Linked DNA regions of Diceros bicornis minor. The protein of the gene in region 4 purifies or fractionates together with the protein of the main gene of each other region. This does not show direct contact. Links are inferred from orthologs where the notes say so. Each region holds a gene or a part of one and is shown on either strand. Other genes may lie near its edges.

The links.
Region 1: the proteins of POLR2F (region 4) and RPAP2 purify together in Homo sapiens (affinity purification with mass spectrometry; 4 studies listed by BioGRID and IntAct, with this or other methods). This does not show direct contact. The link is inferred for Diceros bicornis minor from reciprocal best matches to the Homo sapiens genes POLR2F and RPAP2.
Region 2: the proteins of POLR2F (region 4) and POLR3F purify together in Homo sapiens (affinity purification with mass spectrometry; 4 studies listed by BioGRID and IntAct, with this or other methods). This does not show direct contact. The link is inferred for Diceros bicornis minor from reciprocal best matches to the Homo sapiens genes POLR2F and POLR3F.
Region 3: the proteins of POLR2F (region 4) and POLR3G purify together in Homo sapiens (affinity purification with mass spectrometry; 3 studies listed by BioGRID and IntAct, with this or other methods). This does not show direct contact. The link is inferred for Diceros bicornis minor from reciprocal best matches to the Homo sapiens genes POLR2F and POLR3G.

The regions. Positions count from the first base shown.
Region 1 is NC_080743.1:28,575,300-28,582,286, reverse strand, and holds the start of RPAP2 (putative RNA polymerase II subunit B1 CTD phosphatase RPAP2), read right to left. Parts: upstream 3,008-6,987; 5' UTR 2,760-3,007; coding exon 2,525-2,759; intron 2,310-2,524; coding exon 2,264-2,309; intron 1-2,263. Other genes in the region: GLMN (glomulin), read left to right, coding at 3,667-3,718, 4,116-4,186, 4,619-4,744.
Region 2 is NC_080758.1:45,143,445-45,151,090, reverse strand, and holds the start of POLR3F (DNA-directed RNA polymerase III subunit RPC6), read right to left. Parts: upstream 3,008-7,646; 5' UTR 2,732-3,007; coding exon 2,670-2,731; intron 1,601-2,669; coding exon 1,483-1,600; intron 1-1,482. Other genes in the region: DZANK1 (double zinc ribbon and ankyrin repeat-containing protein 1), read left to right, coding at 4,841-4,949. UniProt on the Homo sapiens protein: DNA-dependent RNA polymerase catalyzes the transcription of DNA into RNA using the four ribonucleoside triphosphates as substrates.
Region 3 is NC_080740.1:16,947,966-16,955,458, reverse strand, and holds the start of POLR3G (DNA-directed RNA polymerase III subunit RPC7), read right to left. Parts: upstream 3,008-7,493; 5' UTR 2,869-3,007; intron 1-2,868. Other genes in the region: acyl-coenzyme A thioesterase MBLAC2, read left to right, coding at 3,596-4,049. UniProt on the Homo sapiens protein: DNA-dependent RNA polymerase catalyzes the transcription of DNA into RNA using the four ribonucleoside triphosphates as substrates.
Region 4 is NC_080764.1:11,849,034-11,856,950, reverse strand, and holds the start of POLR2F (DNA-directed RNA polymerases I, II, and III subunit RPABC2), read left to right. Parts: upstream 1-4,904; 5' UTR 4,905-4,992; coding exon 4,993-5,012; intron 5,013-6,374; coding exon 6,375-6,444; intron 6,445-7,917. Other genes in the region: C25H22orf23 (UPF0193 protein EVG1), read right to left, coding at 3,322-3,384, 4,215-4,353. UniProt on the Homo sapiens protein: DNA-dependent RNA polymerase catalyzes the transcription of DNA into RNA using the four ribonucleoside triphosphates as substrates.

The DNA.
Region 1 (6,987 bases), on a different chromosome or scaffold from region 4:
ACCAACAAAAGCTACGTAATGTACTAAGATCCGTACACAATTTGCATTAGGAATTGCTGACTTAAGCTGTTAACTATCTCAGCCTGTAGTAACCACCACACTCCTCTTAACTGATGGATACCTACAGCTGCTTCCCCTGAACAGCCCTGTCTCACTGCTGCCCTCTGGCCCAAATGATGACAGGGAGTGTGGTGCACAGCAGCGGTTCTCAAACTTTTTTGTCTCAGCGCTCCTTTATAGAGCTTTTGCTTATGTAGATTGTATCTGTTGATATTTACCATATTAAGATTGAAAGTGAGAAAATTTTAAAGCATTTATTCATTCATTTAATAATAATATACCCATTACATGTTAATATATCTTTTAAATAAAAAATTTAGTGTGAAGAGTAGAATTGTTTTATATTTTTGCAAAGTTCTTTAATTTCTAGCTTAATAGTATTCACTTGGATTGAATGTAGAAGTATTTTTCAGTTGGACTAAATTTATAAAGGATAACTCCCCTCAACAACTATTTGGTTACCTCCAGGGATTTTAATTGTTTCATCATCCTGGAGGATCTGCTCAAAATACATTTTAGCTTATCTATGTTCCTGGCATTGTAGTGCTCAGAATAAAATATAATCTATTTAGGTTTGTGGTCAGATCAGTGTTGACGAGAGCTGCAAATTACAGTCATTATGAATATTAACTAAACTTTACTCTTGCAATACTTCCTAAAACCAAGTCAGGATAATCATGCTGCTCCACAGGGAAATCCTCTCCAAATGCAGATCTCAAATGTACCCAATTTCTCCACTTCCAGATGATCATCATCCCTAACATCCTAAAACTTTTTAAATTCTAACGCTTTATTACTTAAAGTTTTCCCATTTGCACTTAGAAAATCTAAGTTTCTCACCATGGCCTACCAGGTACTGTAAGAACGGAACCCTGCCTCTCTAACCTTTTCCTATGCTTTCTTCCCTTGCTCAGAACACTGCACACTACCCTGGGCATCTCTCCTTTCTTTAAACGTCCAAGCTTTTTCTTGTCACATATACTGCCACCTCTGGCTGGAGGTCTCTCCTCACTATTCTCTGTCTGGTTAATGCCTACTTAGCCTTCAGGTCTCAGCTTAATTATTACTTTCTCAGAGAAGCCTTTCCCTGAAAACTTGCCATCCTCTCTGTCAAACTCCAACTAAACTGGACTCTTATTATTAGTTCCTCCTCATCACATCAGAGTCTTTTCCTTTATAGCATTTATCACAATTTATAATTATGTATTTATTGGTGATAATTTAATAGGTATTTTTCTGTTCCACTAGACAGGACTGTGTTTATTCTGTTCAAAACCATATCCTCGGGGCCGGCCCTGTGGCTTAGCGGTTAAGTGCGCACGCTCTGCTGCTGGCGGCCCAGGTTCAGATCCCAGGCACGCACCAACACACCGCTTCTCCGGCCATGCTGAGGCCTCGTCCCACATACAGCAACTAGAAGCACGTGCAACTATGACGTACAGCTATCTACTGGGGCTTTGGGGAAAAAAAAAGGAGGAGGATTGGCAATAGATGTTAGCTCAGAGCCGGTCTTCCTCAGCAAAAAGAGGAGGATTAGCATGGATGTTAGCTCAGGGCTGATCTTCCTCACACACACACACACACACACACACACAAAACCATATCCTCAGGGCCTAACACAGGTCTAGTCTATCTTAGACTCAGTAAATAATTTTTGAAAGAATGAGTAAATTAAGGTCAAAGCCAATACTTCACAAAATGAGAAATCATAGATATATATTACTTAATCATCCTCATAGACTATTCCTATTCCAGAAACCCTTTGTGACAGGATATAAATCTTGCCTTTTTAGGAGAAGCCAAGAGACAGCACAGGACAACTTTTTGCTGAAAATATGGACATGATGTAAACAAACAACAGAAAAGGTTTCTTGGCGTCTCTGGCATACAAAGAAAAGTAGAAAGTATCTGGAGAGGTGGAAAAGGAGTACCTGGTTAATTCAGGACTGTTTATTCCCATAGACACCTTTCTACAGACACTCATACCTTCACCAGTGATCTACAAGTGTCTGATTTGGTTTTCTTAAAGCACGGAGTACGGGGATGTAACAGTCTGTGTGAGAACTATAGTGCTTCCCAGATATTCCCCTTCTCTCTCATAAGAATTTTCTCAAGGGTAGCACCCATTATTGTTTTTAAAAATGGTTCAAATAATATAAGATAAACAGATAAGAGAATGCAGTTGTCCAAGTAGTTCTCATACCTTTTGGAGGCATCCTCTTGTTGCAAGGCACTTGTCTGTTTAGTACCTACGATTAAAAAAACCCCAAAATCAGTAGGTCAAGTATACACAAACACACTAGGTTACAGGACAGATTCCTGCCCAAATATACTGCAGACCATTTTTTCTTCTTTTCCACACATTTCATTTCCAATCCTGTGTGTAAATCAAATGAAATGGGAAGGGATCCAATTTGTTTTTGTAAATTAATTAGTTATTCCCGAATTTTTGGTTAAAATGTACCTCTTTCGGGATTGAATTTTGTCTTGAAACACAGTTGCATAGTTAGGCACTCCTGCAAATCTGAGATCTGGCTCCTTTTACGGGCAACCTCTCTCCATCCCCCAAATGTTCGCTCCCAGGGAAAGGGAGGAGTATGACACCTCAGAGAACCGGAGCACCAGATCAGCAGGACATCTGGAAGGAGGACCAGTGCTAGGTTCAAGGCCAGCTGCGCACTGCCCGCTGACGCTGCCATGGTCACTTGCTCACTCTGGCGACTCCAGGCTCCCAGGATCTCTACTGCCCTTTCCCTCAGAGACTGGAGCACAGCCCTTCTGGGGAAAATCGTGGAATACTAGTGGAAAGAGGTGGAGGCGGCCGGAGGTCTTCCCCAGAACGCGCGAGGACGGCGGTGAGAAGCTCTCGGCCTTCTCTGCCCCGAAGACTACCTCCCCCGGGGCAGCCTTTCGGGAGCGCCCCGCGCGCCTGGTCTGGAACTCTGTCGGGGCTCAGTTCTCAGGGTCCAAACGTGGGAAGAGGCCCTTCTTCCTACCTGCGGCGTTTCGGGAGGCGCGGGGACCCCGGGCCTTGGGGCGGGCCGAGGGCAGCCTGGCCGGCTCAGCCATGGGACGCGTCCTCACAGGGTCGGGCCCCGCCTCGGCGTCTTCTCCCGAGGCTCCGCCTCCCTCGCGCAGCGCGGGGCGGGGCCCGGAGAGCGCCCTGCGCGGCCCCCGGAGGTGGAGGAGGCGGCTGAGAGGGGCGGGAGGGGTGGCCGGTAAGTGGGCGCTCCGGGAGTGCTGGGGGCTCGGGGCTTGCCGGGGGCCGTCAGCCGCGCAGGACTCGGGGCCGCGGACCAACTAGGCCCTGCGAGGTGGTGGGGCCCGAACGTCAAGGCGAGCAGGAATCGGGAGAAATGGCTTCCCTTGGATGCCGCCCGCACGCGCGCTGGGGTTTCATCCGCCCTGGAGCGCGCAGCCGTGAGGACCCCGCCGACCCGCGACCCCACTGTGGGCCTGGGGCTCGGCCTTCCTGCTGGGAGAAACGATGACCGGTGGCAACGGAACGGTGTTGTCCTGAGGGCCGCCGGTTGCCTCGTCTGCGTGCGATATAGTGATTTCACTGACTGGATTGATTATTTTGGGGAGTGCATCTCTTATAGAGAAATGTCTCGGTCACGCTTGGGGTGGAGGGCGTCTGAACTTGCACCCTCTCTGGGTGAGTTTTGTTGCACTGGCGGGACATTAAAACATAAAAAATTCCCTACTGATTTCAGGCCCACCTTTCGGAGATTTTTTCGGAAAAGAAATACTTTTCCTTTTTAAAGTCATTTATATAGTGCATATTTGTGTTGCTTCTTGAGAGTGTCTAGAGGATTTTTTTTTAAGTCTATCTTTCAAAACTATGCTCTAGAAAAGTTAAAAGATGCAACAGGAATTTTTTTTAAAATACATTTTTATTTTCTTGGGTTAACACTAACTTGCAGTAAAAGCATTTCAGCTTTACAAGTTTCCATTTTCTTTATTGTATTTACTAATAATTCATAAGAATGAAACATAACTTATTAATACTTCAGTGTAATATCACTTATAGTTAACAGTGTGTTTTATATTAGTACATTTCAGCCTCAAACTAGGAAAAACAGGAATGGCTGTGGAGGAACTTCAATCTATAATAAAGAGATGTGTAAGTAATTTTTTCTTTTTGTAAAGTTAAAATACCTTTCAAAATATGGGAAGGGTACAGATTATTTTTATTAACATTTGCAATCACTCAAATCGTTAATCTTCTTTAATCCTTGCTTCTTTTGACCTGTGAAAAAATAGCATGAGGGCAGGAAGGCAGATTGGATTATTTCTCTAAGTGACATACTTGTCTAAATAACCTTTTAAATTTTTGATGCTGATCCTTACCATAGATTTTTTTGGTACAATGGATTTCAAGATCATTCATTAAAATATTTATTAGGCTAATTCTAATTTTCATACATATGCTTGTGTGCAACTTATCTAGAATTTAAACAGATTTCCTTTTTTCAGAGAGTTAAATAAATCAGGTAGTTATTGGATTTGTATTTACCTCAACATGTTTGATTTTTGTTTATTTTGTTTTTGTTAGCAAATCCTAGATGAGCAAGACTTTAAAGAAGAAGATTTTGGCCTATTTCAGTTAGCAGGCCAAAGATGCTTAGATGAAGGGCACATAGACCAGCTATTAGAAATTATTCAAAGTGAAAAGAATAAGGTAAGTACAATCTTTGTGTGTACTTTTCAGTCTTTACTAGGAGAGAATAGCCGCATGATACTATTATTCATCCATTCATTTTTTTCATCAAACATTTAAGAATCAACTTAAATTTCCACAGTAGGAAACTGTGGGAAACAAAAAAGGAATTAGGACTATTCATATGCTTTCAGGTGCTTGCACTCTGGTGGAAGAGATGAACATGTAAACAGCTAGCAAGAAGGAGGCAGAACAAACAGATGCTTTACGTCTGTTAACTCATTTAGCCTCTCCAGAGTAAGTGCTATAGTTGAAATATAAGTAAAGTGCTTTAGAAGAAGAGGGATTACTTCTGGTTTGGGGATCAAAAGTGGCATTTGAATCATTAATTTACATTGAGAAATATAATTATCAGGCAGGCTAGATACTCATTTTTGGTGATCAGCACATTCTCTTCCTCCAGCCAGATGAATATAGAAAACCAAATATTAAGTCTTAGGTGCCTAGAATCAGAATATGGGGAGAGCTGGATGACCTTACTAGCCATTATCGTCCAGCTATGATTGTCTGAGAAGTCATTCTCCACAATGGGAAAGGATCTTTTTGGGATCAGGAACAGCTAGGACACAGTGTTGGCAATACTGCCAAATTTTGTGTCTTTGGACTCCCCTCCTTATACAAGGGAAGATCATCTTCTTTCCAGGAACATACTCTTTCTTCATTTATAGTATTATTTATTTATACAGGAGTTTTTTTTGTTGATACCACAATCTGGTCATGCTGGCCTGTGATTATATCTAGGGCTCCTTGATTGTATTTGGGAGGTTCCTAAAACTTTTGAATCACATATTGTTGTAGAATCTTTTAGTCAATAGTTCAAAGAGCTTATCTCTTTTTTATTTAAAAAAGATTTTAAAAATTAAAAAAATTTTTGAAAAAATAGAACATTTTATTTAATACATTTGTTTTTGATATGTGTTTATGGTACCTTTGTAGCCCAAAATAAAGTAAATTTAATGTTTTCTTTAACTCCTTAATTTTTCCCAATTGTGTTCTCAGAGGATAACCTTTGAGAGTACCTTACTTTTAGCTAATAATAATAAAATTAATAATAGCTAATATTTATTGTGTATTTACTATGTGCCAGATGCTGTCTTAAGTGCTTTACATCTGTTAGGTCATTTAGCCTTTCCAGAATCCCATAAGATAGGTACTACTATTAAATTCATTTTGTAGATAAGGAAACAGTCACTGAAAGATATGTGACTTGCCCAAAAGTAACTCAGCTTTTATGTGACATCCAGGATTCAGACCTACGAAGGCTGGTTTCAAAGCTCGTAACCACTCTGCTCTGCCTCTCGTCCGTGTAGCACTCGCAGGGAAGTTTTAGAGTAGAACAGAGGGAACTGGTTGATTGTGGGGTGAGACAGAGTGAGGCATCAAAGATGACTGGGTTTCTAGCCTCTGAGAGGATAATATATTGTGTACCGAACAGAAAAAGGCAACCTAAGAAGAAGAGCAAGTTTCCTGAAGGAGGACAAATAAGTGTATTTTGGAAATATTGAGTTTAAGATGCAGCAGGCAGTTAAAAAGTAATGTTTGGAGCCCAGTAGGGAAATAGGAGATTAAGATGTAAATTTGTGCATGATTATTAGAGATTAGATGATTGTGATAGATTTAAGGATAGTGAAGCTTAGTCTTAATAGCTTGAGAATTACCTTTGTAACGTGTGGTCTGCTAAATTCAAAGGTTCAAAAATTGATAAGACAGTGTTTAAAACTGACTGCAACCTTGGTCCAGCCCCGGCAGCGAAGTGGTTAAGTTCAGCGTGCTCCACTTTGGTTGCCCGGGTTCGGTTCCTGGGTGCAGACCTACACCACTCTATTAGCGGCCATGCTGTGCTGGCGGCCCACGTACTAAAAAATAGAGGAAGATTGGCATGGATGTTAGCTCAGGGCAGATCTTCCTCGGCAACAACAAGAAAAAAAACCAAAAACTGACTGCAACCTAATTTTCTTGCCAGGTGACACAATTAAGATTTACTATTAATATGCTTTTTTTTTTTTTTTTTCTGGTGAGGAAGATTCGTGCTGAACTAACATCCTTTTCCAATCTTCCTCTTTTTGCTTGAGGAAGATTAGCCCTGAGCTAACATCTGTGCCAATCTTCCTCTATTTTGTATGTGGGTCGCCACCTCAGCATGGCTGATGAGTGGTGTAGGTCTGTGCCTGGGATCCGAACCCATGGACCCAGGCTGCCAAAGC
Region 2 (7,646 bases), on a different chromosome or scaffold from region 4:
AGATCTGTATTTAAGACAGGATGGCTGCTCTGAGGCAGACGGAGCCAGGAAAGTCAGTTAGGATGCACTGTAATAGGCCAGGTAAAAGCCAAGAGTCTGAATACATGCAAGGGCAACAGGAATCGAAATGGGGGGGTGGGGACAAATTTGACAATTGTTTAAGAGCTAAAATCAGCAACACTTTGTGATTTATTAACAATTACTTCTTGCTTAAAATTCTTCAACAGCTCCACCACTTCCTACAGCCAACAGGACTGGCAGAAGGCGGGGCTGCAGAGGTGGTGAAAGAGGGAGGTGCCGAGGATCATTTTGACAGAAAGGAAAGGGCTGAAAGGGCGGTCCGAAGACAAAAAACATCTTCCATTGCTACATCCTTCCAGTATCCCTCCCTCTACCCTTCCTGGAGCTGAAGACCTTCACCACAGTGAACTGACTAGAAATCACCAACATTCCTTTTTCCCTTGGGCTAAAACACAGGTCGGCAACCTAGCCCCCTGTGTTTTTGTAAATCAGGTTTTACTGGAAAACAGCCATGCCCATGTGTTTACGTGTGGTCCACAGCTACTTCTTGCCAAGTTGAGTAGTTGTGACAGAAACCATATGGTCGGTAAACCCGAAAAAATGTACTATCTGGCACTTTATAGAAAAAGTTTGCCAACCTCTGTGCTAGAAGCTTAAAGGGAGTGGTTTAACAGAAGGTTCACCTGTCCTCAAATCTCCATATCAGAGCCCTTAGAAATCCAACAAAGCTTAAAAAGCAAATCAGTCTTCAGATGAGTCCTTGGTCCTTTACCTAATCGCTACTACAACCAGACTGAAATGCTCTCAGAATGTGGGGATTTTGATGATGAGGGAAAGGAAAGAGAAATAGGTAGATCTAGCGCACGGAGTACCAATAGGTGGTATGTGTTTGGACAGTTGAAGGAGAATGACATTAGGGCCCCAGGAGAGCAGAAGAGGTAAGAGCAGGTAGAGGGCGTCACTGAAAAACCCCAATGCAGTGTCACTGGGAGCTGAGCCCACCTCCTCCCAGAGGCCCAGCACTGTTGACATTCAACCAGACTCATTCTTGCCTCCTGAAATGCTCAGAGTGAGAATGTGGAGAGTAATATCCTAATGAACTGGCTCTGTGATGACTGTCAGAAAAATCAGGAGGGTAATATTTCATGGGGAATGGCCCAACACTAGCAGTAGGAAGCAAACAAGGTAAGAACAGACTATGCTTATGTGTCCTTATGTTTCTTAATGACAGATTAATAAATACATCAGTTAAAGCAAAATACATTTATTTCATTCATCTTGTAAAACGATGTGTAATTATTTCTTCTTTCCTCAGTTTAGGCAATCTGAGCTGTTTCCCAGTTTGCAGTCTTATCAAAGTCACAACCTAACACACTTTTGAATGGTTTCATGACTATATAATAGAAGTAATGACAATCATAACATATAAATAATTACGTGAACTAGTTGGATTCACCTTACCATGGACAACAGTCTATTGATGGCCACTGCCCGTTGCTGGGCTTCTATGTGAGGCATTTCATTCTGAATTACTTGGTCTGTGATTCCGTGAGGGAACTGCTGACATAATTCTATAATTCTAAGAACAAAGGCATTAATGATATTATTCATGTTTTCACCTATTTCAAGAGGCAGTGGGAGAAAAATACAAGCAAAACAGTTTGAAATTGTGCCTTTTCTTCACATTTGGCAGATAATCTGGGTTTCTATGATGGTTCTGAATCAAAGCATATTAGAAATTGAGGAAGATGCTTTCAAAATACACATTTACATTATTATTGTTATTTAAGGAAACTATTTCTTTTCCTCACCCATAGGAACTTCAAATTAGAACAAAGTCAAATGAAAACAGAAAAAAATATTAAAACCGAGGCTTCAATTTTCTCAGAAGGAGCAAGTATGACAAAGTTAAGACACAGTGCCTTGGATAACCGTAAGTCTGTAAGCAGGAGGCGAATCAGACACTTCTGATGGGAAGCCCAAGATTTGTTACGACAATTCATCACAGTTGGGGCCTGTTTTCGGAATTATCCCTACCAAACAAAAATAAGCCCGAATCTTCACCTTGTCATAAGATCATCATATGTCTTATTCCTAACAGTTTGAGAAAGTTGGGGTCTTCTAAAACTATGTAGTAACGTAAAAATTGCAGTACACGGATAGAGCATATAAAATTGGGAGAGCCTTTAGGTGCCCTAAAATCTTGACTTAAATACTGCATCGAAACCATTTGGCTTATGATGCTTCGTAATCGCAAACTGCACCCTAACTTTGCTCAAACGTTCTGTCGTGGGAGTTCCCTTAGCTACAAGACCGATCCTGGATCAGAACACGTATCCACAGGTACTACAGAAAAAACGCCAAGTCCTCTCTGAGCGTCCATCACCTTAATGTAGGAAGGAAGTGCATCACCACAACTTTTCGAACAGCCTCGGGGCAAGGTCAGCTACACAAGGTTGCAAACCGTCAAATCCGTTTCGAACTTCTTAAGAGTTCTGCTCTCTGAGGGTGGAGGTGGGCGGCAAATCCCGCACTCCCTCTCCTGCGCGCTCACGGAACTTGCTCTGGTATCTACCCAGGCTCCCAAGAGAATGGGTCCGGCTGCGGGGGCTCCCGAGCCGGGAACCGAGCCTCACTCAGTGGTTTACCTGTTTTCTATTTCCACCGGATCCGCGTCGGGCGGCTGCACCTTCACCTTCACCTCAGCCATGAGGGCGCAGTTCCCGGTCCCTGGGGGAGGAGAGGCAGGGAGCGGTCGGAGAGCCAGCGGGAGAACCCGGGAACCAGCGAAGACAGCACCCGGCCCGGGCAACGGGCCTTCTTCCTCGTGTCGCAGCCGGTCCTTCCTTGTCTGTCGGCTTGAGGTGGCCAAGCCGCGCCTGCTTCGCCTCCCTTGCCCGCGCCGCTAACATCTTTTTCTTGTTTTCCACAATGTCAGTGCTTTTCAGATGAACGAGCATGGCTTTCCCATTCTGAGTTGGGACTCCACCTCTAAGCACTCTCCAGCCTCTGTGAAGGCATATTCCCGGATGCCTACGGTGAAGCCTTAGGAAAGGAGCCCTGGCCAAGCGGCAGGGGCGGAGCTGGTTGCTAGGAAGCGGGTTTCCACCAATCACCTGCCCCGCAGTGGGCGGGGCGCGGCTCGCAGCGTCTGTGGTAACCCGGACTGCGATGCAGGAAAAGGCCAGAGGCGGTGAGAGGTGCGTTCCCTACCTGCGGGCGCCGGAGGTACCCCGGGGGTCCCTATCCGGGTTCTGGTGGCCGGCGGAGGAAGAGGAGGAGGGCCTCCTTTAGTCCAGCCGAAAGGGAACGGGCGTCCCTAGCTGCCCCTGGTGGGCGGGGACGGGAACGACACGGGGTTCCGGATCCCGGCGGTGAGGGGTAGTCTGGATGGAGGGAGTTGAGACGTGGGCGGTGCTGTTGATCCCACTCTGTCGTTTGGGCGTAGCCGATCCGCCTACTTCTTGATCCCCGTCGCTTGGGGCCACTGACCGCAGAAGCCTCCGAAGGGCAGCTCCTAGTGGCCGCGCGAATTATTTATTCCTCAACTATTTTTAGTTTGAACTAATTTTTCAACTATTTTTATTTTAACTGCCTCTCACTTAAATGGAAGAATGAGGAAGGGCACCCCTTGAGCCCAGCCCCCGTTCTGTAGGAGCTATTACTCTACTATCAGTATCTGCAGTTGAAATTCTTGGCCTCCTGTCTGAAACTATTCAACCAGGCATTAAGTTCACTCCTTAAATTTAGTTATCCTACTTTTGGGAATACAGTCTGTGACAAAGTTCAAATCCCAAGATGTTCAGAGCAGCATTATTTAGAATTGCAACAGCCAAAACTAAAAAGAAACTAGTAATAGCCTAAGTCCCCAACCACAAATTGATAAGTAAATACGTGGAAAATTATAAATGATAGAGTGAGGTGCAAGAAGTACACTAAGAAAAGTTGAATGAATATTTAGAGTACAACTGAGTAAAACCTACACATCCATAATCATTGAAATTTGAAAAGGCCATACAGAGATGTAAATGGTTGCTGTATTAAGGTGAGGGTCGCTTTTTTCCCCCTGAATCCTTTATGTATTAAAAATTATGACCTCACCCCCCCCCCCCCCCGCCCCCTATCCCCAGGAGAAAGATCAATAAGGCCTCCATACCCGTACTTAATTATTTATAAATACAAAAATGGAGTGAGAGACTTTTGTGTTTGTTGCTCACTGTTTATATCGACGCCAACTTGCTGTCAGCTGAGGCATAATACTCGGCCATCCCTCTAGAGTTTCTTTGCAGCTTTGAAATGCAAGAACCACTTGGCCACAGCTGCAGGGCCTTGAACTTGGAGCTTTCCCAAAGGAGTTGGCTCTAAATTAACGTTTAATGCTACATACAGAGTTACTTCTGTTCCTCTTGTGTGATGACTTGCCCTGAAGCCAAGAGAGGTGGCACACTAATAAGAGGCAGGAAAGGGTGATAATGATCCAGAGGGAGCTCAGATCACATCGTTAGTGATGGTCTCTGTTCTGACACATTCATTTAATTTCCCATTTAAGATAATTCCGTTTCCCCATCCCGTTTATTCGTACTCTTTTCCCAGAAGTGAGGCAAGTATTTAGAGAATCAAAACCCCACACAAGACCTGAAACAATTATTTCAATTAAAAATTGAATAATATTTGTAGGTGGTGTATTAACAGTATTCTTTTTAGTTTTTGCTAGTTTTACTGTATTTAAATGAGGTGCTTCTCTTCAGCTTTTGTGTTCAAATATAGGTGCCCATTGGAATTTATTTTCATCCACTTTTTTTTAATGTAAGGAGGGAAAATGACTGCTGGTTCAGTGTGTGTCCCTCAGATCATACCACTGCGAGTGCCTCAGCCTGGAAAAGCCAACCATGAAATTGATAACAATACACTTTTGGAAATGAAATCGGGTAAGAATCAAATGTACTTGAAATCCTTTAAAATAATTTTACTGTACTCTTTATGTTCATCTGGTTGTTGATTTACCTCTTTGCGTGCTTTCTATGGTCAGGACCTTAGGAAGTTTGTAAAACTTCCAAAACTTGAAACAGTGTTGTACCTGGTGGTTGATAGAATGGTGTGTATTTAGATTACAGAGGTTAGCTTTGACCAGTGTTTCATTTGTATAGGTATATAGTTGCAGCAGTGCCTTGACTCACGTTAGCCAAGGTAAGATGTCCCCGTGCTTCCCCAAACTTTCCCAGGATTCTTCTTATTTTGCTGGGATAGTAAATTTGACTTAGAAACAAAGGCTTTCCAGTCAGACAGGTTGAGATTGAATCCTGGCTTTGAGAACTTCTAGTGACCTTCAATACTTAGCCTTTCTGAGTCTCAGTTTCCTCATTGTTAGACAGTAATAATAATATCTACCATTTAGAACCATTGTAAGGATTGAATGAGTTGATATTTTATGTGAGATGCACAGGGTCTGGCACATAGTAATGCCAAAACAAATCTTAACTATTATTACAGAAATAAAGCAGTGACTGTATTTCCTGGTAATGCTGGAATATATATATATGTATACACATTCATATATATATATATCTACATACGTATGTATACAAAAACATATAATTTTTTTTTAAATTTTATTTATTTATTTTTTTTTCCCTGAAGCCCCAGTAGATAGTTGTACGTCATAGTTGCACATCCTTCTAGTTGCTGTATGTGGGACGTGGCCTCAGCACGGCCGGAGAAGCGGTGCGTCGGTGCGCGCCCGGGATCCGAACCCGGGCCGCCGGCAGCGGAGTGTGTGCACTTAACCGCTAAGCCATGGGGCCGGCCCAAAAAAAACATATAATTAACATAAGGAGAAGGGAAAGTTTTATAGATAAAACATATGAACAAATACTTGTTTAAAAACCTTTGAGATTCCAATTAAATATTTCAATAACTGATATGTGTAAAAACTATTTATCTATATTTATGGTGGTGTCTGTACTTCCTAGACTGAGAGTTCCAACTAAGAATATGTTACGTTATGCTATATTTCCCTTTATCTTAAAAGCTAATATTTTTAAAAATTTTCAAGCCAAAATACTAATTTTAATAAATGTGGCCATAACTCTTAGAAGAAATTGGGTGATTATTGACAAATGATGATATAAATGATATGGTATCCAAATTCTCTAATATTTAAATTGTTTAGTAAATAAAGAGGTTCTACAATTCAATAACAAAAAGAGTAATAACCCAATAGAAAAATGGCAAAGGATGTGAAAGGCCATTTTATAGGAGAGGAAATATGAATGTTTTTTAAACATATGAGAATGTGCTTCTACCCACCCCTGTACGTGCTTCCTGAGCAGACCTTCTCTCCCACTTTATTTACTCCATTGCATTCAATCACCACTTGACAGAATGTATATACTTATTTGTTTGTATACTGTTTGTGTGTTCTTCCTAAAACGGAGGCTACGTGAGAGCAGGGACTTTGGTCACTGGAATATTCCCAGTGCCTAGAACAATGTCTGGCACATAATAGGTATTCAGTAAATATTTGTTGAGTGATTGAATGACTCTTACTCAAAATGCAAGAAATATGAGTTAAAACTACAAGACATTGTTTTTTTGTGTGTGTGTGTGTGAGGAGATCAGCCCTGTGCTAACATCCGCCAATCCTCCTCTTTTTTGCTGAGGAAGACGGCCCTGGGCTAACATCTGTGCCCATCTTCCTCCACTTTATATGGGACGCCGCCACAGCATGGCTTGCCAAGCAGTGTGTCGGTGTGCGCCCGGGATCCGAACCAGCGAACCCCGGGCCGCCGCAGCGGAGCGCGCGCACTTAACCGCTTGCGCCACTGGGCCGACCCCTGTTTTTTTGTTTTTTACTGAGGATATCGGCAAAAATAAAAGAAAAATTGATAGCACACCGTATGGGTAAACAGGCACTTTCACGCATTGCTGGTAGCAGTGTAAATTGTTTCAACGTTCATGGAAGGAAGTTTGTCAATATTAACCAAAATTACAAATGCAGAAATCTTTTGACTCAACAGCACTAGTTTTATATATTTTATGTACATAAAAAGAATTTTTTACAAAGTTATTTGTTACAGTGCTTGTAATGGCAAAATAAAGAAAAGGAAAAAGAAAAAGAAAATAGCCTAAATGTCCATCTGCAGGGGATTGGTTAAATTGTGGTTCATATGTATAAGGAGAGAATACAATGCAGTCGTAACAAAGAATGAGGACACTCTTTATATACCAACATAGAACACTATCAAGATAATATTGTTCAGTGAAAAAAGAATTCTTTGGAACAGGGAATGGCATGCCCCCATTTCTGTTAAAAGAGAGGGGGAAATAAGAATATGTACATATCTACTTGTATGGATGTAAAATATTTTTGAAAGTATACTCAAAATACCATTGATTGCCTTTGGCCAGCAGATACCAGGGATGGGAGGGAGAGTTTTAATTATATATCCTTTTTTGACATTTTTAAAAAAAAATTGAGATATAATTGACATATAAGTTTCAAGTGTACGAGATAATGTTTTGATATATGTGTATATTGTGAAATGGTCACTACAAGTCTGGTTAACATCCACCACCTCACATAGTTAGAGATTTTTTTTTCTTGTGATGAGAACTTTTAAGATCTA
Region 3 (7,493 bases), on a different chromosome or scaffold from region 4:
AGAGGAAAGTGAGGCCCTAAGAGGTTAGCTGACTACCTGAAGACACGCAGTTAATTGCTAACAACGAGTGGACTGGGGTAAAGCCTCAGGATATCTTTCTCCATTGTCCTTTCTCCATTACGCTGCCTGAAATACATTTCTAGGCTAGTTGAATAGTTTTTTAATCCCGTGGATGTGTTTAATCTTTACAGTGAAGTGAATTAGTAATGGCAAAATTGACTGGTTTTAAAAATGTAAAATCAGAAGCATCATCTTTCCATTTTGGGATGCCTCCTGAAAATTCCTATTCAGAATTGTTTTGAGATGGCTTGATGAGTGTAGTTCAACCATCCATGAGCTGAAATGCAAAAGCCCATTCTAATCAACTATAAAAACAACCCCGTGGCAAAGGCTGAGCTAACCTCTGAAACTTCTCCTAGTTCTAACCTTTTATGAATTATGATTGTGCTTAAATGTATTTTTCTCCACATCTCACACAGTCTTTTGCACATATTAGCTAGGTGAATAAATGTACAAACAGACGTAAGCAGGCAAGGAAACTAGAGGACGCACTGAAAGCCAGGTCACAGTATCTTTCCTAATGAATGACACCTAAGTTGCCCCAATAAGAACCTGGTAGTCATGCTGACCTCCTCTCCATCTCCCTCAATCCCCTCATCTAACAGCAGAAGACTATCAGCTCTGTGTCCTCTCTCACATGTTCACCTTCCTTCACCTCTGCTTCAGTTCAGGCCTTCACCATCTCTCGCCTAGAATTCTAATACAGAACAAATAAATTTCCCACGGCCAGACTCCCCCTTTCAAGCCACTCTCCGGTCATCTTTCTAGAACACAAACCTTGATGTGCCACTCTCCTTAACTGGCAGAGCTTTCAAGTCTAACTTTCTGCCTCTCGCCCCATGTATCCCACACTCTAGCCACTCTCAAGTCTGCTACACCAGCTCATGCCTATAGCGTTACTTCTGCCTGGGGTGCCTTCCACCTGAGCATCCCCAGCATTATTTAAGATACTATGCAAATGACACTTGTCTGTGACCATTTCCTCCAGCTTACATGGAGGTAGGCCTCTCCCTTCTCGTTGTTTCCCTAGTACTACATTGCTTTTATTACCCTTTTTAAAATCATGTTGTAATTGTCAGTTCTTGTCTGTCTGCCCAGTAAGCTCCTCAATTATCCACTCATCAAGTATTTATGAAGCATCCTCTGTGTCAGACCATCTTTCACACATTGGGAATATAGCAGTGAACAAAACAAGTCTCTGCTCTCATGGAGCTCATAGTCTAGTATGGGAAATGGAAAATATAAATATATTTTATAGAAAGTGTCAGGTAGTGATCAGTGATATAAAGAAAAAACAGGAAACATGGATGCTATTATGGAAAGGATGGTTGAAGAAGTCCTCCCGTATTCTGTAGTATTTGAGCACAAACCTGACAAAAGTGAAAGAAAGAGCCATGCCAAGGACTAGGAAGATATCCAGGGGAAAGTCTGATCCAAGCAGAGGGATTTGTAAGTGTGAGGCCTCCTTGAAGACTTACTCCCCTTTTCCTGCCCCATCACTCAGCAGAGCTTGGCAAAAGTCCAGTGAATACCCGATGAATTATTGCTGAGCTCATGGCCTACTGACGATATCACTCCATTTCACCTCCAGTGGATCCCCTTTGCCTAGACGAAAGATACCCAAACTACAGTGAGCTCTGTGCTTCCCTGAGAACGTCCTGAGGACAGCTCAAATGCCACACCCCAACAATCCCTGCCCTCTGTATTTTTATAGCACCTAGTTTTGACTTCCTCTGCGGTACAGATCCCATATTGCTTTATATTGCAAATATCTGTGTACAGATATTATCTTCCCTTAATTCTTGAGAACCCAGATCATGACTTTTTTTGGGCACAATTCTGTTCTTCACAGATCACCTAGCTCAGGGACTTGCACATAACGATAGCCCTGAACAGTGACTGGATAACTTCTAACTAGACGAGGAAACTATTCAGAACCGCTGCATCCCTACCGAAGGCTTTGGGGGTGGGGGGAGAGTACACTTCTCTTTCTAGGAAGGCTTTCTAGCAGCTGCCACAGTAAAGGTTTTCCTAATTATCTTCTATAATGCTGTCTCATGGGTGTTTTATAATTTTTCCTGGCTGAGTAGGGAGGTTAGTTAAGTCTTCAAGGGAATTTTTGACACCTAAATAGATGTTTCAATAGCTGGGAAGGGTGGGGTGGGGCGGGGACAGGGACATGGTGTTAATAGTGGGGGTGATTTATGTCGCGGGGGGGGGGGGGGCACACCCAGTCAGTATCCACTTTTCCTGTCCTCACAAGGTGCGGCTGCCTCCACCTTTCCTTAGTTGAGCCTTTCTACCAACTTTCTTTGCTCTCTTCCAAGAGCGGACAAAGTAACCGAAAAAATGGAGGATGGGGGGAGAAATACAGAATTTCATTATGTAGAAGAGAAGAAAATCCTTATTAACAACCCCTCTCCCACGATACAGGGTAAAGTGCCAACAGTTAAGAAAACATACTGAATAGTCTGTCCTTAGCTGCAAGTCTGCGGCAATGACTCGTGCCTGAACCAACCCTAGTCATCGGATTTGAAAATCTACCATCGGTAAGAGCACAAATGCCCTTCTCACTCACTGCAAACAGTCCCAAGAAGTGGAGACTAGGTAAGATCTGGAAACGACGACTTTAAAAGATTTTGAAGGGACTAGGAAAAGGGGAGGTAAAGCTATGTCCCAACGCCTCTCAATCCAGAAGCGCTTTAATGAATCTTCATCCCCGACTTCCCCCACCTTCTCCATGTGCCTCTTTAATTACCCTCTACCCTCTCCATCTCCTCCCAGGCCCTCAATCGCTTGCTCTGTTACCTGCTCACTAAGTCTCGAGGCTTGGGCAACACTGCACAGCCGAAGCGCCGGCCGGCAAAGAACGGGTGCGGACCGAGGACGCCGGCTCTCGGGTGCTGCTGGTTCCACCTCTGGAGAAGCGTGCTCCGCCCTCCACGCGGCCTCAGAGCCGCGTTCGCATCCCGACTAGTTAGCCCCGCCCACCCCCCAGCGAGGCCCCGCCCGCTGGGCCAAGAGCTTTTTAGCCCTCGGCAGGCACCGTAGTCTTCCAACCGGCTGGACCAGACTCTTTCCGCGCCGGCTGAAAGTGCGCATCGCGGCGCGTGGTTGGTGGGCGGGCCTGCAGCCTCCCACGCCTCGTTCCTGGCCTCTGCAGTCAGGCCCCCGAGGTGGGGACCGTGTCGCCTTCTGTGTCTCCAGTCTGCTGCAGTGGCCCCTGCGTGAACGCTCCCTCCTGCTGCGGCTCCAGAGGCTGCGATTGCTCCAGCGCCCGGGGCGGGCTGAGCACCTCTGTTTTCTGCAGACCAGGCGGGAGGGTGCGGTGGCCGCTCCGGGCAGCGTCTGCGCGCGTCCTTCCTCCTCCTGGTTCTCCCTCGCCCCTCCCGCATCCCCCGCCCCCTCCTGGCTCCGCGCCTCCTCCCAGGCTGCGGGCAGACCGCTCCACACCGCCGCAGCGCCTCGGGTCTGGACAGCCTGCGAGGGGCACACACGCCCACACCCACTCCGCCCGGCTGCACCCCTGCCCAGCATGTCGGCGCTCGAGTGGTACGCCCACAAGTCTCTGGGCGACGGCATCTTCTGGATTCAGGAACGCTTCTATGAGTCGGGCAACCGCGCCAACATCTGGCTGGTGCGCGGCTCCGAGCAGGACGTGGTGATCGACACGGGCCTGGGGCTGCGCAGCCTCCCCGAGTACCTGTACTCCTCCGGCCTCTTGCAGGACCGCGGGGCCAAGGAGGACGCGGCGTGCCGGCCGCTGCTGGCTGTGGCCACCCACGTGCACTTCGACCACTCCGGCGGCCTCTACCAGTTCGACCGGGTGGCGGTGCACCACGCCGAGGCCGAGGCGCTGGCTCGCGGGGACAACTTTGAGACCGTGACCTGGCTGTCCGACAGTGAGGTGGTGCGGGCGCCCAGCCCCGGCTGGAGGGCCAGGCAGTTCCGAGTACAGGCGGTGCAGCCCACCCTCATCCTGCAGGATGGTAATGGGCCCTCACGGGCGCGCGCTCTCACATTAGTGGAGGGGATTGGGGCGAAACTGGCCGAGGGATGCATGCTGCAGACGTGCGTGGCTGTAAGGGGCTTGTTTTGTCACCTCGCAGGAACACCACTTCTTTTTCTCCCTTTCCTGCGTAAAAGCCCCCTCCACGGGAGCCAAGGCTATCGCAGCCTTCCCTTCCAGAGACCAGCTCTGGCACAGTGTAGCAATGCCGCGTGCTCGAATGAAAGCCGGCCCCACCCCCTGGTCAGTTTCTTGTGTAAGGTACAGTAGTAACACTACAGAGACTTGTGACTAGGGATTTCCCATTCTTTTCCCGAACACTTGTCTGACGTTTCCAGGCGGTTTTCTAGCGAGCAGACTTTTAAGGAATGACGCCTCCCGGAGAGTGCTTGTCATGCTCTGTGCTTTTGAGAACTGCTGACTTCATCCGCCTTGGTCAGCGGTCACCGCCGGGAAGGAGCAATTCCCACCTGTAGGCTTAGAAAGCCTTTAGAGAGCAGTGGTTCCAATCTGCTCGTGCATCCTTATCTTCCAGATAGGTTTCTGTGCTTGACGTTGCCTCACGAGAGAGCAAGCTTGATAGTGAACATGAAAAGTAGAATATGGCTGAGTCTTAACATGATGAGATACCTGGTCTGGTTGAAAGCAAGGCCTGAGAAAGATTAATAAGGAGGTTATTTCCGGTGATGGGTGAAGTATGTGGACTAAAGCATGGGCCTCTTTGGCTCTGTGAAAGACAGGATGGGGATCAGAGAGAAGTTATTGGAATAAAATAAAATAGAGTAAGGCCCCAACTCCCCCAACCTTCCCAACCCCAAATAGGTGCTTAAATAATTGAGCTGATTAGCCACAGCAGCAATATATGTGTATTAATTTCCTTTTTTTCTTTTTAGAATACTTTTGTTGATTTCATTTTATCCTCACAACACATTTGAAGTGACGTGGCTGACCCCCAATTAAATCGCTTGCCTAGAGTCCACAGAGCAAGATAGTGACAAAAGCTAGGGTTTGAACCAAGGCACAATAGATCAAAGTATGCAGATCATACCCCATAAATCCTACCCCATAAATATATTATGGTAATTCTGAGTAGGATGCGAAACCCCCTTCTTTCCTTTCTATCTTGAAACCATTTTAATTGCCACTTTAATTTATTAAAACGTTCCTCTAAAAGGTAGAAAAATCCAGTTGCTGCGGTACAATAAGGCTCACTTTATGACCAACCAATATGACAAATTATGAAATATTTTACAAAAATCAGTTTATCTTACAGATGAGATCTTGATCACTTGAGATATAAAAATACAAAGCAAGATTCTGTACTTCACACCCCACCCAAAAAGTCTTTTCATTAAAATTTTAAATCTAAAGATTAGGAAAAAAATGAGTTTAGATGGGAGTCTTACATTACCTGATAATTTGAGGTAAAAATTACTGTATTTGTTGATAAAATTGATACTTTTAGAGATAGGATTTCCATGCAGTTGATGGGTATTCAGACTAAATTAATTCTGGCACCCAGACCAAAAAATGTTTACATTAGTATTTAAAATATATTTAAATTTTCTAAACGAATAAATTACTTTTGATTTATTTACTTTTGCTGCGCTGGTGGCAATAGGAAATCAATGGTGAAAGAATGATAGGAATTATTATTTTGTAGATGAAGAGTCCAGGCAGGCCCGAATATCATATCTGAGGGCACGTAGCCAGTTTGGGAAAGAGCTGGGACTAGAACCCAGGTTTCCTAAATCCCAGTTGTTGGTAGAATTACAGCATTTTGTTGCTGCAAGGGGCCTGCTAGCTCCCTGTGTGGTGCTTTAAGCCTTTGAAGGTGTGAAAAGAAAGCTTAATATTTACCAAACACTTTGAAGGTGATAGTACTGTGTTAAATCAAAAGTTGTTTTTCATTAGGAGCTAGATGCCTCACCTGTCAAGTTGTATCTAATTTCCTATTTTCTCAGGAATATTAATTTCCTGTCTCTTCTCAATGGTGTGGCCTGCTAACTTGTTATTCTCATAATTCAGATGCCTGGAAAGAGATAAAAAATATTTGTATTAAGAATTCATACACAGTTACACACACATGAGCAGCGCATACCCAAACAACATAAAGTCTTCATTGCTTTGGTTAGAACATAAGGAGGCTGAAGTCATTAGTTTATATTGCATTTCATTTAGTGAATTGATGATCACCTGTCATGGAGAAGCATAAATCTATGCACTGTATCACTAACCTAAAAGCTGATTTGTAAATGAGGGACAAAGAAGACAGGGAGAGAGCATCATCTAGTGCATCATCCTTGATGGAAAAACAACTCACCCTACTAATGGTGAAGTAGTATCTTCCTATAAGAAGACAGCAATAAACCATAGCGTGATCTAGCACATTCTTCTTGAACAGGCACACATCATTTTGCCTATTTTTCACAACACTCAAGTGATATAAAGTGCAGGCATTTTGGCCCTTATTATACATGTTTAAACAATTTGCCCAGAGTCACAAAGATATTAGAGCAGTTTTTTCAGATCGACTTGAATAATTGGAGAAGGTTAAAAACAAAAAGGAGATTCCAGAAAGGTAGCACATTGAACAGACACATCTAATTTGACTCCTGCCCAAAACCCCGCTAAGAGTGCTGTACAGGGACCGTGGTTTGTCTCTGTTTTAAGTATAAATCCACATTGACTGAGGAACTGTTTCAGATGCTGGAGAGTAAATGTGATGACTGAGTTAGCAGTTTTACCCTATGCCAGCAATGGGAAATCAAGAGCCAGTCCAGTTTGCATTGCAGGGACCTTCCTGCAGGCTCAGGAATTGGCAGTAGCTGGTACCTTAGGGGCAAAGGAAAGAATACTAAAATAAGTAGAGTTGATTGAAAGCCATTTAAGACGCTGTTAAAACGCCAGAACCCTTCTTCCTAAGTGAATGCCCACCCAGTTAGTTTGTTCTCTGGGGAGAGTAAAACAGAGGGGTTTCTTGTTTGAGGGATGCTAAGTACTATTGAGCTCAGGGGTTCAGTATGGAAAATAGGAGGAATAATATATATATGTATGCCTACTAGTTTCCCAGAAGGATGAGAGCCAGGCCTTTAGTAGGAAATTGGTAGGAAATTGGAAGAATCTTATCTGGGAAATCTGCCTAGCCCCAGAGGAAAGACTAAGATGCTGATCCTTGAGTAATCCTTGGCTTGATCTCTCTACAGTGAAGCCTAGGTCACTAGGTCGCATGCACGAGCTTCAAGCAGCCTTTTCATCCCCCACTCTTAAACAGGCAATCAAGCATAAAAATCGGGGAAAATCCTCTAACATGAGATCAAATACAAAAACAAACAGCATCAAGCAACTTGAGAGGGGAGGACTGTTATTAATATCATGAGAGGATAACAGAAATGATTGAATTCAAGATATCCAAGAGACAATA
Region 4 (7,917 bases):
GGTGCCCATCTTCCTCCACCTTATATGGGACGCCACCACAGCATGGCTTACCAAGCAGTACTTCGGTGCGCGCCCGGGATCCGAACCAGCGAACCCCGGGCCGCCGCAGCGGAGCGCGCGCACTCAACCGCTTGCGCCACCGGGCCGGCCCCTATATAACTTATTTTTTATAGCTGCATACTAGTTCTTAGAATGGATGCATTATTTATTCGACTAGTCTCCTAGTTTCGGAGATTCAGGCTGTTTCCATTTTTGTTACTACTTTAAACAACGCTGCAATAAACATTCTCGTACATCAAGCCTTCCTACTGGTGCTTTTGTTTCTGTAGATGGATTCTTGAAACCTGCCTGGTCCACGGGCAGGGAGGGGTGGTTTGATGGTGATAGACACCAATCCCTCCTCCTGTCCCTCCCCCTTGCCTTGACCCAGATCTGGGGCTCCTCCCCCAGGCCAGCCAAGTGTGTCCCCTCCTACCTGGCTAACTGGCCTCTCCTCTCAGTTGCCCTAAAGCCCAGCTCAGAGCAGGCCCCACCCCCTGTTTTGATCCACCCCTGTCTACCTTGTTGACCTTTCCAGCTGCCTTCTGTCATCCACCTAGCAAATACGTGCCAGGCCCAGGACACTGGGGGTAAAGTGGTGAGTAAGATAAAGTCCTGCCCTCGTGGCGCTTACATTTGGGGTGTGGAAGATGCTAAAATAAGTAAAACATATCGTATGTTAGATGGTGACAGTACAGGGATGGAGCAGTGTGTCTGAGCAGGATTTACAGTTTTAAATAGGGTAGCCAGGGAGGACCTCATGAAGAGGGTAACGTTTAAGAAAAGACCCAAAAGTGGTAAGAGCCAGCTGTGCAGATATTTTGGGGAAGAGCTTTCCGGGCAGAGGGAAAGGCTAGAGCAAAGGCCCTGAGGTGGGAATGTGCCTGGAGTGTCTGAGGAACAGCCAGAAGGCTAGGGGGCCAGGAAGATGGAGCAGAGTGGAAGTAGGGGTCAGAGGTCACGGGGGGCAAGAGGAGTACAGGGCCTTGCAGGCCTCCAGAAAGACTGGCTCTTACTTTGTAAGGTGGGAAGCCACCACAGGGTTTGAGCGGAGGAGTGGCATGACCCCTTTGGCTGCTGCTGAAAATACAGTGTTGAGGGCAGGGGCAGAGGCGTCAGAGGCGGGATATGGTCTGAAGGTCAAGCACACAGGACTGCTGATGATGTGGGTCTGGGAGAAAGAGAACGGAGTCAAGGAAGACTCTGGGGTGTCTGTCCTGAGGAACTAGAAGGATGGAGCTGCCATTATTTCCCACTCCCATCCCCTTCTCACCCCTCTACCTGGAGCCACACCACAGCTTTCTCTCTCTGTTGTGAGGAGATGCCATGCCTCCTAGAATGTCCCTCCTGCTCCGTCCACTCCCTATTTCTGGCTGTCCAGTGCCAAATGCTACCTCTTCCTTTGGCCCATTCTCAGCAAATAATTATGGCCCGAGGAATTCTGGAAGCTTAGGTGAAGGAGAGGAATTTGTGGCTTGCAACAGAATTTGAACCAGCCCTCAAAACAACAAGTAGGATTTGGTTAAGAGGAGAGAGGAAGAGAGGGGATTCTAGGAGAAGAAAGCAGACTCAACATAGTGCTCGGAGGCAATTTTTTTTTTTTGTGAGGAAGATCGGCCCTGAGCTAACATCTGCCAATCCTCCTCTTTTTTTGCTGAGGAAGACTGGCCCTGGGCTAACATCCATGCCCATCTTCCTCTACTTTATATGGGACGCTGCCACAGCATGGCTTGCCAAGTGGTGCATCGGTGCACGCCCGGGATCTGAACCGGCGAACCCCGGGCCGCCGCAGCGGAGTGCGCGCACCCAACCACTTGTGCCACCAGCCCGGCCCCTGGAGGCAATTTTTAAAAAAGAAAACTAAGGAGAATAAAACTGCCAGGTGAACCCGTAACTTGTGTTGGCCTAACCACTAATGTAATTAGTCCTTCAATAAATGTCGAGCACCTACGAGCTGGGGCTACCGTGGTAAACAAGGCCGACACAGTCCTCGGTCTCCTGCTATTTACTTTTAGTGGACTTTCTAGCACATTCTCTTTGTAGTCATGCTACAGGGGACACCAGATTATTAGTACATTACTGAGTGTGGAGATTGAGTTGTGTGATTCGGCTGTGTTGTGGCTCTGGCAGCCTGAGTTGTCCTTGTCCACAAGGAGAAAGGAGATCTGACTTCTGAACTGGCCTGATGGAGCCTCCCTCCCCCAGCCAGTGCTGGGCAGGCACTGCCAATATTTGCCTCTCTGACTTTCCCTTCCCTATGCTTCTTTGGTTGATCAGATGCTCTCCTGATAAGCACATTCCTTCCTGAGAGAAGGCAATAGCTTTCAGTAGATTCAAGTAAAACTTAGCAGGCTTGGACCTTCTGACATTCTCTCTGTTAAAGACAACTTTACAGGGCCAGCCCAGTGGCTTAGCGGTTAAGTGCGCGCGCTCCGCTTTGACTGCGCAGGGTTCGATTCCGGCCGCGCACCTACGCACCGCTTGTCAAGCCATGCTGTGGCGGCCACCCATATAAAGTGGAGGAAGATGGTCAGGGATGTTAGCCCAGGGCCAGTCTTCCTCGGCAAAAAGAGGAGGATTGGCAACAGAGGTTAGCTCAGGGCTGATCTTTCTCAAAAAAAAAAAAAAAAAATTATAAAAAAAAAGAGACAACTTTACAGATCTCTGTTCTGATCCACTAAATGTTGATTCAGTTAAATCTCAGAAAGCAAGGTTGTTTTCAAGATCGTAGAGGGCAGCTTGCTATTGTGCCCATGGAATTCCACTTTTTGTTTTCCTTAAAAATAAATAATACAACATGTGGTCAGAGGTGAGCTGTGGAAACGTTTTGCATATTTTTCCTAAGTTGGAATTCTGCCAATTACCTTGTTTCTGCTAGCTAAGCTATGAATGAATAAAATGATGAATAAGACACACACAGTCCTCTCCCCTGGAGGACTCACATGGTGTGTGTGTAGGAGGGAGGGACAGATTGCAGACTTGACAGTGTTGAGACTATGTGGCTGGGCAGGAAGTCTCTATTGGGCTGTGATCTCTTGAGAAGGTCGGCTAGAGCTGGACTGCAGGAGGCTTGCTGTGTCAGGACCCATGTCTGGGGAAGAGGCAAAGGTCCCACAAAGTCAATTCCCCAGGAGCAAGGGTCAGAAATACTATTCAATTTTTTTTTTTGGTCTTTTTAAATGACCTCTTTTTAAAGAGGTCCCCTGCCCCTTATGTAGAGGAGTATTAAAAATGTGGCCCAGAACCCCTCTGCCCAGGAAGCCTCTGTGGACTGCCTCTTACTTTTCATGGTGTCCATGATGTGGCGCTGTTGGAAGTTAGTCAGTCTGGATTCCTTCATCATCACTGCAAAATAAAGCATTCTATGAGGCCTCCTGGGCTGTAGGCAGATGCCCTCGTCTCCCTCTATTTAAAGTTAAAACTGTATCACCTCCTACCCCCATTCTGCACCTGGTTACTCCCACTCTCCCTTTCCTGCTTAATTTTTTTTCTGTAGCACTTATCACCATCTAAGTTATATATATTTTACGTATCATGTATTACCTTCCTAGTAGAATATTAGCTCCAGGAGAGCAAGAATTTTTGCTGTTTTTTTAAAAAAATTTTTTACTGCTGTATCCTCAGCACCTAGAACAATGCCTAAAGCACACAATGGCCTTTTAAAAATTTTTTCTTGAGTGAATGAATGAATGAACAAGTATTCATTAAGCATATGCCAGCGGCTGGAGCTACAATTGGGAGCCAAAACAGGCACAATCCCTGCCCTGATGGATTTCACGAGCTAGAGGGTTAGAAGGATATTAATCTAATGGACACACTAAATATCTGATCACAGGCTGCACTAAGCCCAATGAAGGAAAAGGTATTTGGTAGTATGAGGGCACATAACAGTGGGTTCCACTGTGGTGGTGGTGGATAGGGAGGAAATAAGGCTTCCCTGGGGAACCTGAAAGTGTGATCTAAGGGATGCATAGGAGTTAACTCTAAAATTCTTAGTTCTTTGACTTTTGGCCACTTGCAAGTTGTAGGATCTCTGAACCTTTCTGAACCCCAGGCTTCTTATCTGTAAAACTAAAATAGCAATCGCTAAGCCATACATAGGTCATGTAGGGGAGAAGTGAGTTACACAGGGTAACTGTTACCACTGCTCTTCTTGTGTCCTTCAGCGCACTGACCTCTGAGCAGCTCACAGGTCCTCCGGGAGTAAGTGGCCGGCTTGGGGCAGCGCCAGAAGCCTGTTCCTTTGGTCACTGCCTCCACCCTCTCCTGGGAAGCCATGGGAGGACCTTGAGGAGGGAAAACGCAATGACACATCCATGTCTCCCAGGTCCAATCTTTGCTCCCGCATCCCCCAACACCATCCCAAGTCTGGGAGCGGGGTTCGGGCCGCAAGAGACTCCTGACGCCGCCCGTCAATACTGTGACAGTGCCCGATTCTCCTACCCCGAACAGATACACAAGCAGATGCACACACACGGGAACCGAGACCTTAGCTGAACCCGGCGCCTGTGGCAGGGAAGTCCCCTTAGGAGGAAGGGGGCATTAGGATAGCGGTGGTTACGACAGAGCCCATTGGGTGATACGCCAAAACTGAAACCTCACCCTAAAGTAAGACCCCGGCGGGGTGCCCCTGTCCCCACAGAGAGCGGCGCGGGCTCCAGAGACCGTAACCACTGCTCCACCGCGGCACCCTCACCGGGGCCCCGCAAAAATACTTGGAGATCTCTGGCACCAGAGCCGGCAGCTAGACGCTCTGGCTACCATGGTAACGAGCACGCGTCTCTGGGCGCATGCGCACATATATCGCTCCGGCTTGCCTCCCGGAAGTGATTGCCTCTGGGTCACGGCGCAGGCGCAGAGTAACGCGTGGCGCCGCTGGAGGAGAAGGCGCGTTGTGGACAGGTCGCTGCGTGGGTCAGAGGTGCGGACCCGCGTCGCCGCGGCGCGGGCGTCATGTCAGACAACGAGGACAAGTGAGTGCGGGAGCGAAGTGGCCTTTGCGGTGTCTCGGAAGGGGCGGCTGAGGCGGGGGCCTGGGTCAGAGGAGGCCGAGGAGCCAGGTCGAGGGGCAGTGTCTGAGGGGCTAGGGGTGCTGAGGGCCCGCGGAGCTGGAGAAGGGAAGGGCGGTGAACCGGGAGCATAGACCGGGCCAGAGGCTGGGCACAGAAAGCCCCAGGCTCGACGACCAGAAAGGATCAGTGAGAAGGGTGTCTTTCAGCAGACTTCCACTGACCCCGCCTCTGTGTCTTGTAATGGGAGTATTGAGGTGAATTAGGCGTAGCCCCTGCTCTCCAGGTGCTTCTTTTCTAGAAGAGGGGACAGGCCCGTAAACAGATAATACGGGGTCGCGTGAGATTACGTAGTAGATGTAGTATAGAGGTAATCCAGAGGAGGGTCAGGCCAGGCCTGGAGATGGTAGAGGTCTGGGAGGTGTGAAGTATCCACGTGGGAGAAGGTGGCGGCTTGTACTAGGAGTCGTGAGAAGTGGTTTTGAATTCTGGGTTTATTTTGAAGCTAGAGCCAAAAAGATTTCCTGACATGGGGGGTTGGAGGAGATAAAAATAGGGCAATCATCAGCCTAAGTATATTAATCAGAAGGAAGAAACAGGTGAGCTCATCAGGGGAGAGTCAGTAGAGAAGAGGAGATGACTGACCGTCAGAGCATTCCAACATGGAGTGCTGGTGGGGGAAAGAGGAGAAACCAGCAACGGAGGCTGAGAAGGAGCAGCCAGGGAGGTTGGGGAACACCAAGAGAGTGAGGTGTCCTTGCAGTCACATGAGGAGAGTGTACTGAGCGAGAGGGAGTGACCTAGTGTGCCAACTGACAGATCACGCCAAATGAGAACAAGAATAGGCCATTGGGTGTAGCCACGTGGAAATCATTAACGAGCTTGAAAGGAGTGGTTTTGACGGAGCTGGGGAGGTGCAAGTCTTCTTGGAGTGAGATTATGACAGAATGGGAAGAAAAGAATTGGAAACAGTGGAGGTGGATGACTCTTTCATGAATTTTGCTCTCAAGGAGAGCGTGGAAATAGGGCTCCGTGGGGAGGGAATAGAGAAATGAGTTTTGTTTATTAAGATGGGGAGATAACTACATGTTTATATGCTGATGGGAATGATCCAGTAGAGAGAGAAACAGTGATGATGAGTGAGTCCTAGCAAAATTTAGGGGCTGATGAGGAAAGGTTGAAGGAGTAAATGGAACAGAAGTTTGATTCACTCATTAAGTAGATGTTTATTGAGTGCCTCTAACATGTGGGGTGAGACACAGATCCCTGTCCTCTTGGATTCTAGTAAGTGATGCTTCAACTAACTGGCCTCTTCTTCTCGTACAGTTTTGATGGTGACGACTTTGATGATGTGGAGGAGGATGAAGGGCTAGATGACTTGGAGAAGGCCGAGGAGGTCAGTATTTAGCTGTGGGCTCCTGTGTCTGCAGCCCAAGCTGCCAGATAGCCCAGCGGTGATAATTGCCTGAATGCATCTCCCTCCTGTTCATGGTCAGGGCCCCTGCCACAAGCCCCCCCCGGTTAGAGCAGAGTTCCAGTCCTGGGTAGTGGAGAAGCCCTGCAGGTGGTCCTGAAGGCTTCTGTCCACTTGGACCACAGCCCATGGCTTCTGGGGCAATTAGTTCTCTGAGGGGTGAGCAAGTCAGTGAACACTTGTTGAATGTTTATTAGGTGCCGGGTGCTCTGCAGGGTGGGGCTACATAAGGAGCAAGGAGGAGAGTGACCTGGGATAAAGCTGGACAGGTTAGGGCCCAGATCAGGCAGGCTATTGTAGCCTAAGGGTAGCGGGAAGCCACTGACCAGTTTTGAGTCGGGGAGTGGCATGATCCAGTTTACACTTTAGAAAGAGCATTCTGGCCTCAGAATGAGGAGTGAATTGGGGAGGAGCAAGAGTAAAAGAGAGAGACCAGTTAGGGGACTTGCATAGATCTCCAGGTGAGAGACCTGTAGCTTGGACTTGGATGCTGGTAGTGTCAGTGATGAGAAAACATGAAAGAGAGATTTTGGTGGATTGGGTGTGGGGCTGAGAAAGTGGGAGATGGCAAAGATGATTCCAAGCCTTCTGGCTTGATCATTTAGGTGGATGGGTTACCAGCTTCATGAATAAAATAGGGCTTTCTGTCCTGTGTGACTGATGGAGGAAGAGGTGCTTTGTGTCTCCTGGAGAGAGAGTGATCCCTCGATTTTTTTAGTCTAGGAAGCTGAAGCTGTCTTTTTGGATTTCCTCTGTCTGCATGGCACTCTCGGGTCCCTATTCACTGAGTCAGAAACCTCCTTCTTCATCCCTCTGGTCCCTTCCATGCCTGTCCTGTTGATTCTGCCTCCTACATGTGGTTCAGCCCTGTTCCGTTTCTCCATTCCTAGTGCCGCAGTCCGGTTTAGATCTTCATTGCTCTACACCCACGTGACTGCAGAAATTGTGTTACTGGTTTTCCTGCCTTCAGTCTGCTGCGTTTGCCTTCCTGCTGCCAGAGTCATCTTTCTTACCTGCCTACCTGATCGATTACTATTGGTCTCCCTAAATGGTCTCTCTGCCTCCACCCTTGCCCCCTACAGGATATTCTCAACAGAGTATTGAGGATGATCCTTTTAAATCTTAAGTCAAACTGTGTCTCTCCTTTGCTTAGAACCCTCATCCAGTGGCTCCCCGTCTCATTCAGAGTAAATGCCAAAAAGACGTACAAGATCCTCCATGATCTGGCTGCCTGCTTCCTCTGTGACCTTACCCTTTCTAGCTTTCCCTGTCATGTCAGGCAGACCCCTGCTCAGGACCTTTGATCATGCTGTTCCCTCTTCCAGGCACACTTTTCCCTTAGATATGCACAGGACCTGCCCCTCACCTCCTTCAGGTCTTTGTCCAAGTGTCATC